Kluyveromyces lactis: one gene and its partners. The protein of the gene in region 5 purifies or fractionates together with the protein of the main gene of each other region. This does not show direct contact. Links are inferred from orthologs where the notes say so. Each region holds a gene or a part of one and is shown on either strand. Other genes may lie near its edges.

Region 1 (2,825 bases), on a different chromosome or scaffold from region 5:
CAGAAAGATTAGGGAAAGCATTATTAACTAATATCCCGTGGCTTGCGTGGACCTTTTTGAAGCTCATCCATCCTTTTATTGATCCGTTGACTCGTGAAAAATTGGTTTTTGATGAACCATTTCCAAATTATGTGCCACCTGATCAACTCGAGACGCTTTATGGTGGTAACCTCGACTTCAAATATAATCATGAAGCCTATTGGCCTGTCCTAACTCAAATTGCAGAGAAGAAGAGAAAGCATTATCTACAAAGATTTGAGAAGTTCGGAAAAAAAGTTGGACTGAGTGAATATGATTTAAGAGGTGACCACGATGAGTTGAAATTCCCAATCAACTAAAAGTCCAACTAACTTTTCTGATAATAACATATGATATTCAGGCGTTGAATTCACAATGATCTTAGTAGAAACTTCCTCAATATTCCCAATATGCGTGAAGCCTAATACGAAACTAATGTAAATGTAAATGAAAGTTGTAAATGTATGTATGTGAAGGTACCTATAGACTTGAACAAAAAGCTTGTTGTGTTCCGACTATATTAGAAGGGCTTTGCACATTTTCGTTTCTCAGCGACTCCGGTCTTTGGTGAAATCATTGTCTGCCAATCAATTGCATACATCTGTTCTCCAGCTCCGTTAGAAGACTTAGCGAACACCACGCCCAAGTCATTCCTTGCTGTAGTTAAATAGTAATGGGTACCATCGCCAAGTGAGAGCACTTGAGCACGTATTATATCCCCAGGTTTAAAACTTTCCATAACTTTTACTCTATCTCTATCAGTGGCCCTTACATCTTGGGATCTAATTATGCCCCTAAAAGTTTCTCCCAAATCCGCGGACACTTGCGAAACGGAAAACGTAGACGCACCAGATCCACCAGCAGCAGCAATTATGCCAGTCCCATTGCTTCCGACACCAGAGTCGATCGGCAAGGGCGAATTCTCAACTGCTAAAATCTCAACTGTTATTCTTTGCAAACTGATTCTGGTCACCCTCGCCAGTACGATATCGCCCTCTTGCGGAAGGTTATTGACAAACTGGTCATCAACATACTTGCTAGCAAACTTGCTAGGATTTGATACTGATACTTTGAAACTTTTTATAACTCTACTATTGCCAGAGCTTGCATCCCCTCCGGTGGTCTCATGAGATTCTACAAACGTCGTATTCTCTGAGTCTTCTTGATCGTCGTCTTCGATAATATCTGCTGGAACTTCTTCCACAGATACAGAACCTTTTAATGTGGCTACGATAATATCAACGTTCTTGCCGTTAACTCTAAAATTCTCCTGTTTACAGCCAGTGCCCGTTAGGAAGCGTATTACCACTTCTTGCTTGTTATCATCATCAACATCAAATATTGGACATATAAGATCACCGGGTATAACAGTCTGGGGGAAATTTTTAAAAGGCTTCATTTTATAACGATGCATATAGACAAACCTTACTGTTATCAAACACTCTTATTATCTTACAGGCCATATTTAAGCTAGTTTGGTATTACTGTTAGCTCATCGCATAAAGCAGCTCTTTTTTTATCATTTTCATAATGAGTGAAACAATTTTCAAAATTTGGGAGATGTTGAAGACAAGTTAGAATTATTTTCAAATAGTAGGGTAATATTACCAAAGCTTTCAAAGCGGGCTCAACACGAAAGCTACGTGCACGATTTGAATCCATATAAAGGGAAACATAGAAACGCATGGTAAATGATTTAACTACTATGATTACATGTATTTATAGGTCTACTAAAAGAAGTGAGTGTTGCACATAGAATCTTCGTGAATGTCCATTTCTGCTTTAAGCTCATTCAGCTCGTCCTTTATCATTTGGGCCAATTGAGGAGTAAGTTGATTGCATGTTGCCGAATCAGGATGCCTATCATACTCAAGTTCACCATAGGTCTCATAAAGGACTATTTGAGAGGAAAACTTAACAAGTTTTGCTGCATAGCTAGATCTTTCTTCCGATTTCTTCGACATCTGATCTGAGATATGTTCAAGTCCCGTAAGCCCTGAAAGTTCCATGGTACTGTTGAATTGTGGCGCTTTCAAACCCCTAAAAGACATCGATATAGGCCTGCTCATCGATGTTGTGATATCTGGTAAAAATGCGTTGATCTTTGGGGATTCTTTTACTGCATGTATGCCATTAAAATCTTCGTTCTCAAAATCTTCCTCATCATAATTATCAAAATATAAACTGCTATCAGAAAAAGTGTTTTGGTTGCTACTGCTAACATTTTCTGGTGATGTGTCTCTTGTTTTTATAGTACTTGATATGTGTTTCTGATCATCCAAACCAGTCTGTTTTTGGTTGAGTACTGAACTGTTTGTCTTAATTTCTGGGGAGTTAGTAAGTTCCACAAGAAATGAGTTTTCTGTCTCAGTATTGAAGCTGGGCTTGGATAGAGAGTTTTTCACAGATTCTTTGACCGGATTTAGAGTTTCATAGTGTGAACGATTGTCAGAATAGAGATCAAAATTTAACTCGATATCTTGTCCAAAGTCTATTATACTTGCAAATTCCATGATATCTGAGATTAATTCGTTGTCTTCATTATCTGAATCTTCAAGACTAGATTTAGTTGCCTTATTCTGCACCAATGGTTTTTCTAGTTGATCTTCTTGATCAGATTCCATTGTCAGCTCGTTTAACTTTTGCTCTATGGAACCAAAAGAAAAATCTCTCTGTTGTGGTGAAATTGTGAAACTTGCACTTCGAGTACCATGACTATTGTCCAAATCAGAACTGGCGGATATTTTTTCATCAGACGTAGTTTCAAACTTTCCGCTGCGCAGAATACTGCTCACCGGAGATTTCGT
Region 2 (4,193 bases), on a different chromosome or scaffold from region 5:
ATCGAGCCATCTTATCACCCATACAGCTCTACTAAAGACTATTCCTGGAAGACACAATTTGCCTTAGGTAAAAACTCCAATCGTAAGAGAAATCTTAATCGATCAAGGGTGAAGAGATTCCCGGATCGTAGTTCGGACCTTGAATTAGGCTCATTGAGTGGTTCACTTATCAACAAATCTACCCTTTTTAAGGATGATATTGCTGATAATGCTGACGAACTGAAGGCGGGAAATGGTGTTATGGGCCTATTAAACCAATATTACAAAAAATCAGATCGCAATCGATGATAAAGTTTATTAATGTTGAGTATAGATTATATAATATGCAGTTAACGTTTGGTATTACGGAGCTTCTTTTCACGCTCATATTTGTTTTTCTCAGCACCTTCTTCAGTACTGATTTGATTGACAATACGTGCCATCTTGGAATGGTAATCGGCGTACTCCTTCTTCTTTTCTTCAATGCCTTGTCTTGCCTCGAATCTAGTGTCTTTACGTATTTCTTTCATAGTGAACTTACGTTCCTTCTTCAATTGCGCCTTCATCTTGTTCAACTCACTTCTGGTCTTATCTGGATCATACGACTTCTTATCTGGGTTGAAGTTCTCTTCGAATTTAGGCGTATTTGATGGAATCGCCAGTGGTTTATGCTGTTGCAACGTCAATGGCAGACGTTCTTGGAATTTCAATAGCTTTTCGATCTTTTCCACTAATTGTTTTGGTTTAGAAGTACCAGGATATACTTCGGCAGCCACGTTTAGTATGTCTTTGAAGGGATTAATGATTTCTGGGAAGGCAGTAAGATCTTTCCAGATGTTCGTTATGCACCAATCAATTGATTCTAGATTGTTGACCAGCACGGACAGTTTGATAGATTCTTGCTTTTCTAGATCCTCGGAAAATAATGAGTGTAATTCTAAAGAAGGGGCGACCTTGGACCAGTTAATATCCGAGCCTACTATTGATAAATTGTCCTCCTGTTTTTCTTTGTTTTCTAATGTTTCCCCTTTGGTACTCGGTATTAGAGAACGCAAAGATGTCTGCAAGAAGTATGTTAACTCAGGAATATAACGCTTGCTTATACGTTGATACTGGATGGCGATTCTAACCAGTATCGAACCAAATATTAATTTTTGAAGAGAATTGAACCTAATTTGTTCCAAAAACTCTGCAATTAGAAGCAGACAGGGAGTAATGACTAAATGATAGTGATCCGAAGTGGAGAACAACATACCAACAACAGAGAAAAATACCAAATCTGATGGAGATAGTCCATAGAACTGGGATTCTTTGAATCTAGTCTGAATATCTGAGATGATATTTCTACAATCCTCTGATAGTGGAATGGTAAACTTTTCTGAAAGAGTCTTTAGAATGCTTACTAGTTCGTTTTGTAATGATGCAATTTCTTTCACATTAACCGAGTAATCTTCTTCAGCCAAGAAAAGTATATGTCTGAGCAAAACAGCAGTGAATTTGCCCAATTTTTCTTTGTTTCCCTCAGCCAATTTTGGTTGGTATGTTTTTACTATTCTTTTAACTAAAGATGGATGCTCTTCGATAGGATAAGATTTCAAGAAATTTAGTAAGTCATCGTGAATTTGAGGACATGGAACAGAAGGTATAACTCTTGCTGAAGGTCTACCATTTGATGTAGCGTCGTATTCATTGTCATCATTGTTATCCTTCTCGAAATCAACGTCGTCATCCGAGTCAGGAATTGCTTTGATATATTCACCATATTCGCCCTCCTCAGAGTCGCTATCTTCCCAAAACTCTTCTCCCAAATCTTCAACACCAGCATCTTTTTGATCTTCAATGTTGAAAATACCGTTCATACGATCAAGCCTTTTCTGCTCCAATTCCTTTTGTTTGTCCTCATATTCTTTCTTAATCTCTTCATCTGTTTTAGTTCTATCTGCAGGGGCAGCTCTTTTCTCCAAGACTAACTCTTTCACCTTGATATCATAATCTGGAGCGATGTCTGTGGAGGTCGAAATCTCAGTTTGAGAAGGTTTAGTCTTTGGTAACGTCCTTAATTCAGACATAATGCTTTCGAAATCGTCATCAAGGCCTTCGATATCTTGGACCAATTTCTCCTGCGCCTTTTGTCTTTCATGTTTGTAAAATTTGGATTTAGCAATGACCTCTTGCATGACTTCTGCCTTAGTCTTCTTTCTTGCTGGCTCTTGCAAAGCGTCATCACCTAACCCTTCATCTCCGTATTGATCCGCCATATTTCTTTTACCAGCTTGTTTCAACCTGAAGTCCTCCGAATCAGAATGCTGTAACCCCAAATCACCTTCATCGAAATCATCTTCCAAGGAAAGAGACTTACCATAATGAGTCAACTTTTCACCGTACACGTTTTCATCCTCACCACCATCGCTATCGTCTAAATTGAATAACGATCTTTTCGTCGAAGATTGACGTTGTCTTTCCTTTGTGAAACGTTCCAACATGATCTCCTCGGAAGTCAAATTCTTATCCTTTTCACCAAAACGTTTATCTAAGACACCACCGCTTCTGTTCTTGCTGGACTTCTTGGCTTCGTAGAACATTTTACGTTGATCTTCACCGGCTTGTTTAGTGATTCCCGGCTTACCTACTGCAAGTTTAGCTGCAGATTCCCTCATCACACCAACCTTTTTATTACGATTTGTTTTCACATCAAACGGATTAAACTGTTCCCTAATTCTTTCAATAGTCTTCTGTCTTTCTTCTCTATCAAACTCCCTGGGAGATTTGCCCTTCTTCTTAGAACTCTTCTTGACATTGGTCTGACCAGTCAACCCATTAGCCTTTAAAGCGGCCTTCAAGTTCTTCAACTGTGAACCACCCATTATTATTCGACTTTGTAACCTATTTGCCCACAGACAAGAAGAATGGTCTAAACACAACTGATGATGCAAGTCAATTCAATACAATCGGCCAAGATACTGAACCTTCTGACAGCCTTTGATTTAATCCCATCTCATCTCATCTCATCGCTCAATTCATCTTCTGTCAAACTTTTAATGCTTTTTCACCGAAAAGAAAGAAAATAGTTACCCGCACAATAAAATCAAATCAAGGTTACCCGAATATCCAGCACAATCATTACGAACGATGATGAAGTCACGTTTTTCTAAGATTCGATTGTTACTGTTACTGAGGAAGCTTTTACCGTAGCTTGTCATTTTAAAGGCATTATGAGAAATAAAGGAAATCAGTTACAGGTGGCAAATATATACGAAATAACCGCGAACAGAGGTACAGCAGGTTACAGTGTCGGTTCTGAGACTGTAAGTTTGTGTGGTTTGAATACAGGACGGATACAGAGAAATTGATTGTATTGCATTTCGGTTTAAGTTGAGCAGGCAGAGCAAAGAGAAAAGAGTATAAATTATATCGTAAAATATGTCCAGAGACGCTCCAATTAAGGCAGAGAAAGATTATACCGAAATCTTGGACGCTGAATTTCCTAAGCTTGAGATTTTGGCCAAGAATGATTATTCCAGTGCTTTGGATCAATTGTTAGTGTTGGAAAAGAAGACTAGACAATCTTCTGATTTAGCATCTTCGAAAAGAGTCTTGACTAAGATCGTAGATGTTTTGGTCGCAGCAGACCAATGGGACCTACTTAACGACCAAATCATGCTTCTATCAAAAAAGCATGGTCAATTGAAGTTATCTGTGCAGTATATGATTCAGTCTGTGATGAAATATTTGGAAGACCTGAAGGATTTGGACACCAAGATTAAAACTATTGAGACGATAAGAACCGTGACTGAGAACAAGATTTTCGTGGAAGTTGAAAGAGCTAGAGTCACTAGAGATTTGGTTCATATCAGAAGATCTGAGAACAAGATCGATGAGGCCACTGACTTGTTATGTGAATTGCAAGTGGAAACGTATGGGTCCATGGAGATGTATGAAAAGATTGAATTTATCCTTGAACAAATGGAATTAAGTATCCTAAAAGGTGATTACTCTCAAGCCACTGTGTTGTCCAGAAAAATATTAAAGAAGACTTTCAAGAATGAAAAGTATGCAGCATTGAAATTAGAGTATTATAACCTTTTGGTAAAGATTGGCTTGCATAAGAAAGATTACTTAGAAGTGGCTCAGTACTACCAAGAAATCTACAACTCTGATTCTGTGAAGGCAGATGAAATTCAATGGAAGGCAGCTCTATCCAGGGTTGTATACTT
Region 3 (2,863 bases), on a different chromosome or scaffold from region 5:
CCGAATCCTACGATTCGTTGAAATTCGTGATGTTGATCGCCATTATTATACATAAAATTCCTGCGACGCTTTCCTTGACGGGGATTATGATTTCGAAACAGAGATTACCCAAACTACAAGTAATCTCTAATCTTATTGCATTCAGTATATCCACACCGTTCGGGTTGCTATTCGTGATCCTGATGAGATTCGTCAGCAAGGACCTAATCGAGAAAATGAGCGATGGGCTATTGGTTCTGAGCGGTAGTAGTTTATTGTATGCTTCATTGCTTGCGTTGATCTCACCAAGTAAGGACCAGGAACAACAGTTACAGAATGATGGCCCGATCCCAGTGTCGGGTTCTGTTTTAGAGATGGGCGAAGGTGTTACCACTGAAGAGAAAATAGAACAAGAATCACTTCCAGATGTCAGATTGTTACTCTTGGGTATCTTTATCCCGTTAATGATCTCTTTCTTCGCTCCTCATGATAGCTAAAGCCAATCAGGAAACTCCTCTTTTAGATAATACATTATACACGAGACAAATCACATGTATAAAGACCTGTATATTTGAATAGATAGGTACATGTGGGCACAAATCCTCTTCTATTTACGTTTGAGACTTCTTCTTTTCAACCATTTATCCTTTGATTTCATGACACTGGTTTCCTTTTTTGGAGCCAGTGTCTTAGATACCTTCATCGACGATAGCAAGTTCACAGTGACAGGTCCTTTCTGTATTTGGGTCTTTCTCAATTCCCTTAGTGATCTCTTCTTTTGTTTCCGTAATTCTTCTTTTAGGGCCTGTTCTTCTTCTCTTTGCGCTTCTGCCGAGAAAGTAATATGTTTCGGCGTAGCCTTTGCGAAGGAAGATGCAGATCCACTTTCTAGCTCATCAAAGAACTCTTGTGGTAACTCTTCCGGCTCATCATTATCCGAACCCTGCTGCGCTACTAATTGTCGTTCAAACTCTAACATCTTTTCTCTCTGTTTCTCCTCCTCAGACTCGAGCAGCTTCTTCTTCTTCTCTAGCTGCTGTTGCTTGAACACTTTCTCGTTCTTTCGTCTCTTCTCTCTAGCTGCCTCTTCTTGTAACCTTGCAGCCTCTTCTCTTTCCTGAATCCTTTTCTCTATAGCATCTTTCCCACTACTCAAGCCTTCTTCTTCTGGCGCATCGCTATCACTCTCACTCTCACTTTCACTTTCACCATTCGCTTCTGCTTTTGTTGGTTTGAGAGCATCTAGGGTAGAGTTGCCCTCATCAGCTGTATGGAATGAATCATCCGCATCATCATCGAACTTCAAGTGTCTCTTCGCTACCAGTGCAGCACCAGAACCTAGAACTTTCTTCAAACCCATTGTTATATTTCTCAGTAAACTCTTGCCACTTGTCTAATCCAATGCACAATTGAACAGAAACACTGACAGAACGGTAACACGACCTGCTTCATGGACTAGTTCCAGTGGTTCATCTCATCTCATCTCATCGCTTTGTCCAAATTTTTCACTTCGAAAAGAAATGATACGTAAATAGAGGTCACGTGCTGAAGATTTTGTTCCTGACACTGGACTACGAGTAGAATGCTCATCACCCGTTAACGGACTGTGCTGTGTATTGGCTGGTTCTGGTGCTATTTGTTGGTTAGATTATATCAATTTATATCAACTTTATTGCTATGCTAATGGTATTTAATGTGTAGCTTGCAGTACTGAAACATCATGACACTTTAAACTCAATATCACAGAACTGGGTACCAAAAAGCATTCTTGCCACGTCTGTACCCATTATCCAGCATATACATGCCTTTATAATAACCAAGAGATATGATCTACCAGTTCCTGTTACTAAAGAATATATTATCCCAATGACACAGATGGTGATTAGGATATAAGTTATGATGACAGGATATCTTGCGTATAGCATTTGCAAGAACCGACTTAACGGACTGGTAAATGGTGATTCCCTGGATGGGGGAATTGAGGGTGACTGCACGGGGTCGCCTGAACATGGCTGATCGCTTGATGGTGGTGGTATTGGAATTGGCAACGAGGGTGTTGACCAGCAATGTATCTGTGCAGTGGGGTTGGACTCTGGGGAAATTGTTTGGTATGTTGTCAAATCAGGCAACTGTGATTCTAGTAGCGGTGACGATTCCTCCGCGACGCCGATATGACCCTTTTCTAAATCGCTGGCATTATATACCAAAGAGTCACTAACATTTCCATCAGGTAATGGTCCTACTATTATCCTAGTTGGTGTGCTGATTGGAACAGACTCCGGATGTGGTGAAGATTCCACAATGCGGACAGATTTATTCTCATGTTCGTGCGTGCCATCAACAGGTCTTAATATAGACTTGATTGGTATGGGAGTGCTGCTTTTCTGGCTACTGCTCTCACCGGATTGCATTGGTGGGTCCAGTTGTTTGGGTTTAGGTTTGGGTTTGGGTTTAGGTTTCGCTGCTGAAGCTGGTGCGTAAGTGATTGGTTTATTTCGACGTTTAGGCGAAAACCGCTTATTCAATAAGCTCTTCATATGATTTAGCTCTGTACAGTAGAAGCTGACGTTCTCTCTAAATATCTAGATTCAGATCTCGACCTTGAACGGTTGGAGAACGTCTTATGTCGTGTTCTCTATTAAAACGTTTGTGGCTGGGATCTAAATTCAGTTCAATTTGACGTCTGGAAAACTGACACAAGGAATTACCGGCGATTGAACAGCCGTGTCACTTCAAAATCGGGGGTTTAGTAGGGTGTAACCATCTGTAACAACAGGACAGCTATCTTGGAGAGCCCGTGCTTCTAAGTGCATCGCTCTGTGTTTTCTCTTGTGAGGTGGTATCATTTATTGCAATATAGGATGAATATCACGTGACCATAAGG
Region 4 (2,865 bases), on a different chromosome or scaffold from region 5:
TGACTAACGAAATCTAACATTAAAAAGAAAGAATAAGGATGATCCATGAGCCATTCAGCGCGCTTTTAAATAGAAGGAAATTGCTACGTTTATCTGTTTTCAAGCAATCACTTGAATTTTCTGGCCAAGAACGGGTCATTTATTTTTTCCGTCTCTTCTTTGATACATCTTCTTCCCCTTCCCTTATTTTTTCTCTCGTTCAGCAACTCTTTCCCTTACCGTCTCCTCGGTACAGTCAATCGTTATAACTCTATTTTGAATTAACATTCTATTTTTATTTATATCGAAATGAGAAGGTTGTTATTCTTTTATGTTAATTTACTTACGGGTGTTTTCTTTTTCTCTTTCTGATTCTTTTTATCCTATCTATAAATACAGTGACTGAAACGCAGTTGCTTCATGCTCCAGGGTTTGCTAATATCATGTAATTGTGTTTAATTTTCCTGTATCTCCTCAAACAACATACCCTTTCCGTCGTTAAAACGAAATACGTTTGATAGAATTCTTTCCACTAGCAAAAATGTTATACTTTGCTTGATTTTATGGACATTATGATGGAATTGTCTTATTATGCTTACTATAATTATAAATAGTCCTTTCTACTAGCCGTTCTAACAAATCTTCTTAGTTGCCATTCTACGTCAGCATCTTTATTTTCTAATGTTCCTAATTTTAATTCGAACAATCTCATCTCGAACCTAGGTCCCACTTCTGCTAACTCCACACCTTCTCTGGTTTTCACATAAACATGTTGCCTAACGCTGATAAAATCTCCTCTGTTTGCAAACGTTATCACCCTTGCTGCATCTTTCTTTGGACCAGGTGGGAATAGGTGCTTTAAAATCGTCTCTACTCTCTTACCCAATGGTGTTGTGAAATTATCGAAGATTAGATGTGGATTTACTTCACTTTGATTCCCCGAATTTAAAATGTCATGTCTTAAAACGACGTTGTGTAATGTGAAAAATGCTGTTGGACCATGTGGGAAATGTGATACCGTTAGTGATGTAGGAACACCTCTATGTTCATGAAGAACAACCAAATCTGACGTTCCTGATGTTTGACAGGCATCGACAAGATTCGGCATAATGTAATTACCTCTGTTTAATCTTACCGCTGTTGGGAACAGTAATTTGATTTCTTTTGCAAACTGTGATAACCTAGTACTAGGGTCTCTAGATGTTGTCACAATAATCTTAGGTTCTGCGATACCGCTTGTTGCGCTGTACTCATCATCTATCTGTTCCTGAGCACTTTCATCGTATTGAAAATCTTTCTGTAGTTGCTCATCTTCAGCAATTTCCTTTGGTAGTGGTTTCCCCTGTGCTAACGCTTGCTTTATGATTTGGCGCTTTTGTTGTAGTTGAGATTCTTGTAGCTCTTGTGCTTTACGGTACAAGTATTCTCTTCTTTCACGAGCTTGCCTTCTTAACATCGTACTTCAATAATGTGTTGCTTGTATAGTACCAAAAAAGCGAATAGCTGATAATATACTATAATAATGCCTGTTTATAGTGACTACAGTACGTATATACACGATACTAGTCCGTCGTAAACAAAAATGTCCAACCAGCTAAGTTGTTCTTCAGCTCTAACGTCTCATCTCATCGCATCGTTCATGTAAAAATTTCAGCCTCAAAAAGAAATAATTATTAGAATAATACCAAATGGTCACGTGACAAAACCTTTATACAAATCCATAAAGCCAAATACGCTAAGAAACGCATTATCGTAACATCGGTTACATACAACAGACACTGTAATTGGTGACATATTAAAGAATTACTTGGTTGTCATTAAACGAGGTTTTATACAGTCTATCAAAGGTAATTAATATTTGTCGTGGATGATGTTTAGTAAATGAAGGAAATTACCTTCACTTCTTGACACATCTGCCATATGCTCTAGCGAAGCTTTCTTCTTCTGAGATTTCCATTCTAGTCTTGAGGAAGAAATTGTTTCTGTTTTTGGAAGGGATATCCATCGATTCACGTCTCGATGCTACCTTTTTGGCTATTTCAGTATCAAAATCTGATTGAAGACTTCCTCCACGTAATGCCATCCTTTGTTGGTGGACGTTATTAGGCAAAAACATATGGGTAGAAAGAGCAGTAGGTAAAATGGTCTGAGCAGCCGGAGGTGCATTCGATTCATGATAATACCGTTCTCTAGTAGTATCGCTTACGATACTACTAAAAGAGCCGAGTCTTCTGGAACGCTCAAATGCGACAGGAATTGGCTTTTGATGATCCAAAAGAGGTTTGTTCTGCCACGAACTTGATGGTGTCACAGAGCCCACAGCAACTATTTCCGTAGTTTCTGGAGCAACAGGTTGAGGCGGTATTTGAATTCCTGTTGGATTCTGATGTAATATGCAATTTTGATCGGTCTTCTTTCTCAGAGGCTTTTCCGATTGTTTATCCAAAGACTTTAAGACAGGTTTCTCAACAGCCTTTGCTGAAGATGTTGCTTCAGAAACATATAGTGGTCTTTTGAGCAAATCCTCATTGGTTGTAGTGTATGCTTTATCCTCTGGATCAACTTGTGACTTGGTTTGTTTCTCTTGCATGAATAGACCAGACAACAAACTTTTCTTCTCTCCGGATTCTTTTGAAGGCACTTGATGAACATTATTGTTTTGGTGTGTCTTTGAGAACATCAGCTTATCCCATTGGTTTTCATAATATTGATCATTATCTTCTTCTTCATCGTATATCTCACTATCATCTGAAAGAGAGTCCCAATCAGATTCTTCGTCCTCACTACTAAAGAACATATTCTTGTGATCTTGTCCGGCATGCACATGCGCTGCATTACTTATAGTACCAGACGTTCCAGATTTGGTGCCATTACTAGATGTATGAG
Region 5 (4,227 bases):
TCTTGCGTTCTTCTCTTCTTTCTTCTGTTCTTCCTCTTGTTCGTCTTGCTAATAGCTGCAATATGTCCCTCTGACATGATAGTTTCCGATAGAGCTTCTCGTTAATATGGAGGAGAGTTAACTTTAAAGTATAACTGTCAAAAATTCACAGTTGAAGTCACCTTTTAACAGAAGAAGGATGAGAGCCGATCTCATCTCATCTCATCTCATCGCTTCACATCGTCTAGTTATTTGATGAAGTTTCTTTTGCAGGGAAACAAATTCTGTCTAAAACTCAAAGCCGGGTAACAAACTTATTATTCTACTGATGGATGGCCCTTGACTGGATATGGTATCTATTCAGAGTTGATGCGGTGGGTGTGTTGTACTGTTATATGTATATATCTACATGACGACTAGTGCTATATTTACATTCTTTATAGCAATTTGTCCATTTGAACTAAAGCGTAATCTAAGATATAACTTTCTTGAACCAAGTTATCCATTCTTGAGTAATGTCTCTCTGCGTATGAGATTATTGATTCAACGATCCTTACAAGCCCAGGAATTTCGCTCAACTCTTCAATATTTTGTCTTAGAAGAATACACCTTATCATCTTTTGGGCTACTGTGTGTGTTCTTGCATTTGTATTCCAATCTCTGCACCTTTTCACTAAAAGAAGAAGTTGATCTTTATCTAGAGTCGACACAACCTCGTCAATTTCGTTGTTGAAAACTACATTTGGATCCTCATTTGAGTTGTCTACACTTTGTCTTAAGACGTTGTACAATCTCATTGGGTGATCCAAGGTCATGGCAAGCAAAAATGCGTTAGTCCAGTCACCTTCTGAGAGATAATTTTGTAATGATTGTTCTTGTTCAATCTTCAGTTTCTCTTGCTCGAGGTTACGTTCGTGTTCCTCTTCACTGTTATCCCTCCAGAACTCAAAGAAGCCGTCAGCATCTGCTGTAACGAAGGATTCACCATCGTTCATAACAGCAAGAGCCCAGATACGGTTATTGTGAGCATCTAGTGTCTTGACCGATTCACCAGTTGATAGATCCCAAATAATAACTAAACCATCAGCACCAGTACTTATCAGTTGCTTGTTCTTGTTTATGAAGGAACATCTTTGAACTGCATTGGTATGTCCTTCCAAAGTTTTTACGACGGCATATGATTCTAAGGACCAAATTTTGATGGTCTTGTCACCGGAACATGTGGCCAATAACTTGTCATATTGACAGAATGCAACGTCCCATAGACCACGTTTGTGGTTTGCTAATGTGGCTTGGAATTCACCATCATCCAAATTCCATATTTTACATGTCTTATCGTATGAAGCCGTGGCAAATAGAGAATCATTAGGTGAAATGGAGATAGCATTGATATCCTTTTCATGCGCCCTTCTGGTATATTCTGAGGTCTTAACAAGTATTAGATCTTCGGGTTCATCAGATGTCACCTTAGGAACCTTCCATTTCTTTATGGTCAAATCGTTAGAAGCTGTAATTATGAATTCAGGCCATGAACGTGGCATAACATTAGGAAGTCCAACAGCATTCACAGAACCTACATGACCGACAAATTTAGTGTATGGATAAAAGTCTTCGTACTTTGCATGATATCTCCATAATATAACGCTGTGATCCTTGGATGCTGTAGCAACCCAGAGACCATCAGCGGTGGCATCCAAAGAGTTGAGTAGATCCGTATGACCCTCGTACATCTTTACTTCAATAGGAAATGTTTCTTTGTTCTCCCCATTTTCGAACTCTTCCTCCGAAGAAGTTGGGGTTGGAATTATTCTAAGAGTAGGAGAGTTAGTAGCTAATGCTAATTTATCCCGTTTTGGACCAACGAATCTTATATCTGCAATGGTACCATGATTACCTGCAATCTTATTTTCCACTTCAATTACTTCAGATTCCGATTGTAAAGCTGATTCAACATCTATTAGGAACAAAGTTTGATCTGAAAATACCAAGTACTGCTTAGTTCCGTTCAGGATACATAGTGTACCAATAATAAATAGCTCTTCAATAGGTTTTGCTGTTTTCTTTAATACTCTTCCTGTTGACAAGGACACTAATTGGTAAATGGCACCACCACCGGCTGAGTAAACCACATCCGGGTCCTGCGTAAATCCACACGATTCCACCTGTTCTATGACAGGGATGGTCTTCAGTAGCTTATACTTTTTCGTCGAATTAAACTCGAAGAGATTTAAGATATTGTCTCTACCACCAGATAATAACTGCAGCGTTCCCTTTTCTTCATCAGTGACACGGAAATCTAGCCCTCTAACAGCTGTAGTATGTTCCTGAATAGTGCATTGACAATTACGTTTAACTAAATCCCAGACTTTAATCATACCGTTGGTATCACCAGATGCAAGCTTCCAAATTTCACTGTTCAACTCACCGTGAAACTTTACACTTGAAATGGTAGCACCATGTCCTTTCAAAGAGTGCGTGACATATCCATTTTCAATATCAATAACACTAACACTACCATCAGTACCACCTATAGCCAAAAGTGTAGATGTTTGATCGCAATTCATGACGTACACCGGTGACGAAATCTTCATTGATCTGATAATTCTTTCTTGTTTCAAAGAATACACTCTGAGCAACTGCGCTTGTGAGACAAAACACAAATAAGAACCATCTGGAGTTAAATGCAATGCGGTGATGTCTTGTTCATCCTCAGTATCAACAGAATGCAACACTCGGCGTGGGCTATCTAAGCTAACAATGTTGATTTTATCGACGACCGAAGTCGCTAATAATCGTCCATCTTCAGAAACAGATGCTATAGCACCAGTACCAGCATAAAACGGCTCTAGTTTCGTGGATGCATAGGTAGTTCTCAAATCCATTGTGCGAGTGGGAGATCCAAGGTGCTGTCCTGGGTGCTAATAATTGGCCAGGTATAATCTTATTGGTTCACCTAGCATATTTCTGTGATGCGATGAGATGAGATGAGATGAATTAAACTTTTCAACATTCGAATTGAACAAAAAAAAGAAAAAAACGTAGACAATGAGGCATGGGTTATCATATGCTTGAAACAGAAAGAGATTGAACATATACAAAGGAGCTGAAAACCGGGAACGGTCTTTAGACAATGTTTATTTGCACTTACACATATTTGCTAAATATTTGCTAATATTCTAATGGATATGATTTTAAAGTTAATTGTTGATTTATGAGAGAAGTACAACACTCCTCTTACGGAAAAAATGGTGAAGCTGAATAGAGCTTCACAGAATGATATCTATGTAGATTATATCCAAGAAAGTGTAGTAGGTAGAATACAGATAATTGTAGTTTATGGTTATGCTTTAGTCGAGTAGTTTCGCATCAGCAGCAGTGGTAAAACCAAGGAATAAAAAATAAAATCAAAGGAAGTGAAAATGAGGGTTAACTTGGGAGTTCTGTTGATCCTCCGATGATTTCCTCCAGATCAGCTAGCGCCGTCTCACTGAAAAGTCCATTCTTGGTTACTCTCATATGTTCAGCAGCAGCTTCGGCGATACTGTTTCTTCTTCTCCATGCGGCAACATGGCTCATTTGTTCATGGTTAAAATCAATTTCTTCAATCGGGGCAGTCAGAGAAACCAGGAGATCTGCATCGTCACTGCCTAATAGATCAATATCTCCATCTTCATCTCCATGATGAGAAAGTATTAAATCATCATCAGATTTCAGCAGTTGATCAATTTCATCCATTCCTAATCCCTTCACAGAATTCTTCCTCGTTGGTAAAACCAGACCGTTGAAATCATTAGGTGTGTTTCCAGCATCTGCATCGGTGAAAACACTTGAACTTGGACTAGCCAAATTCACGCTAGAGGGAGTTTGAATGTTGTTGTGAGAATCTGCGTTGGGTTCAGTTTCAGTTTCTTGTTCAGGAGCAGTGAGCAATTTTTGCTTTTCAATTCTTTGCCTTTCCCTTCTGATTTTCAAGAGCTTCTTTTTCTTCTTTATCTTCCGTCGCTTTTCATCTTTCTTTCTTTGGTATTCCTTCATCTTATCGATCTTCCTTCTAGTCCTTTCACTACCAACGTAACCAATTGGGAACTTGCGTGCTGAAAACACAGGAAGCATGTATTCGTCTTCTTGATGTTCGAAGTTGATGCCTTTATTTCTGAAAGCAGATAATGGAACAGATGGTTTGTGATACCAGGTGGCAATCTCTTTATTCTTAGAATTCGAGTCAGCGCCATCTTCATTGTTTTCATC

The links.
Region 1: the proteins of UTP13 (region 5) and CSL4 purify together in Saccharomyces cerevisiae (affinity purification with mass spectrometry; 3 studies listed by BioGRID). This does not show direct contact. The link is inferred for Kluyveromyces lactis from reciprocal best matches to the Saccharomyces cerevisiae genes UTP13 and CSL4.
Region 2: the proteins of UTP13 (region 5) and NOP14 purify together in Saccharomyces cerevisiae (affinity purification with mass spectrometry; 3 studies listed by BioGRID). This does not show direct contact. The link is inferred for Kluyveromyces lactis from reciprocal best matches to the Saccharomyces cerevisiae genes UTP13 and NOP14.
Region 3: the proteins of UTP13 (region 5) and BUD21 purify together in Saccharomyces cerevisiae (affinity purification with mass spectrometry; 3 studies listed by BioGRID). This does not show direct contact. The link is inferred for Kluyveromyces lactis from reciprocal best matches to the Saccharomyces cerevisiae genes UTP13 and BUD21.
Region 4: the proteins of UTP13 (region 5) and IMP4 purify together in Saccharomyces cerevisiae (affinity purification with mass spectrometry; 3 studies listed by BioGRID). This does not show direct contact. The link is inferred for Kluyveromyces lactis from reciprocal best matches to the Saccharomyces cerevisiae genes UTP13 and IMP4.

Annotation. Positions count from the first base shown.
Region 1 is NC_006040.1:1,659,581-1,662,405, forward strand, and holds CSL4 (exosome non-catalytic core subunit CSL4), read right to left. Parts: upstream 1,433-2,825; coding exon 539-1,432; downstream 1-538. Other genes in the region: BNI4 (Bni4p), read right to left, coding at 1,749-2,825.
Region 2 is NC_006039.1:1,426,401-1,430,593, reverse strand, and holds NOP14 (snoRNA-binding rRNA-processing protein NOP14), read right to left. Parts: upstream 2,844-4,193; coding exon 330-2,843; downstream 1-329. Other genes in the region: autophagy protein ATG9, read left to right, coding at 1-288; proteasome regulatory particle lid subunit RPN5, read left to right, coding at 3,400-4,193. UniProt on the Saccharomyces cerevisiae protein: Involved in nucleolar processing of pre-18S ribosomal RNA. Has a role in the nuclear export of 40S pre-ribosomal subunit to the cytoplasm.
Region 3 is NC_006037.1:682,526-685,388, forward strand, and holds BUD21 (Bud21p), read right to left. Parts: upstream 1,340-2,863; coding exon 587-1,339; downstream 1-586. Other genes in the region: Mn(2+) transporter ATX2, read left to right, coding at 1-476; KLLA0_A07645g (uncharacterized protein), read right to left, coding at 1,698-2,516. UniProt on the Saccharomyces cerevisiae protein: Functions as part of the small subunit (SSU) processome, first precursor of the small eukaryotic ribosomal subunit that coordinates the first two steps of ribosome biogenesis in transcription of the primary transcript pre-RNA and pre-18S processing.
Region 4 is NC_006041.1:700,610-703,474, forward strand, and holds IMP4 (snoRNA-binding rRNA-processing protein IMP4), read right to left. Parts: upstream 1,436-2,865; coding exon 584-1,435; downstream 1-583. Other genes in the region: KLLA0_E07811g (uncharacterized protein), read left to right, coding at 1-17; MKS1 (Mks1p), read right to left, coding at 1,877-2,865. UniProt on the Saccharomyces cerevisiae protein: Required for the early cleavages at sites A0, A1 and A2 during 18S ribosomal pre-RNA processing.
Region 5 is NC_006042.1:1,222,812-1,227,038, reverse strand, and holds UTP13 (U3 snoRNA-associated protein UTP13), read right to left. Parts: upstream 2,862-4,227; coding exon 417-2,861; downstream 1-416. Other genes in the region: RSA3 (Rsa3p), read right to left, coding at 1-77; KLLA0_F13222g (uncharacterized protein), read right to left, coding at 3,406-4,227. UniProt on the Saccharomyces cerevisiae protein: Involved in nucleolar processing of pre-18S ribosomal RNA.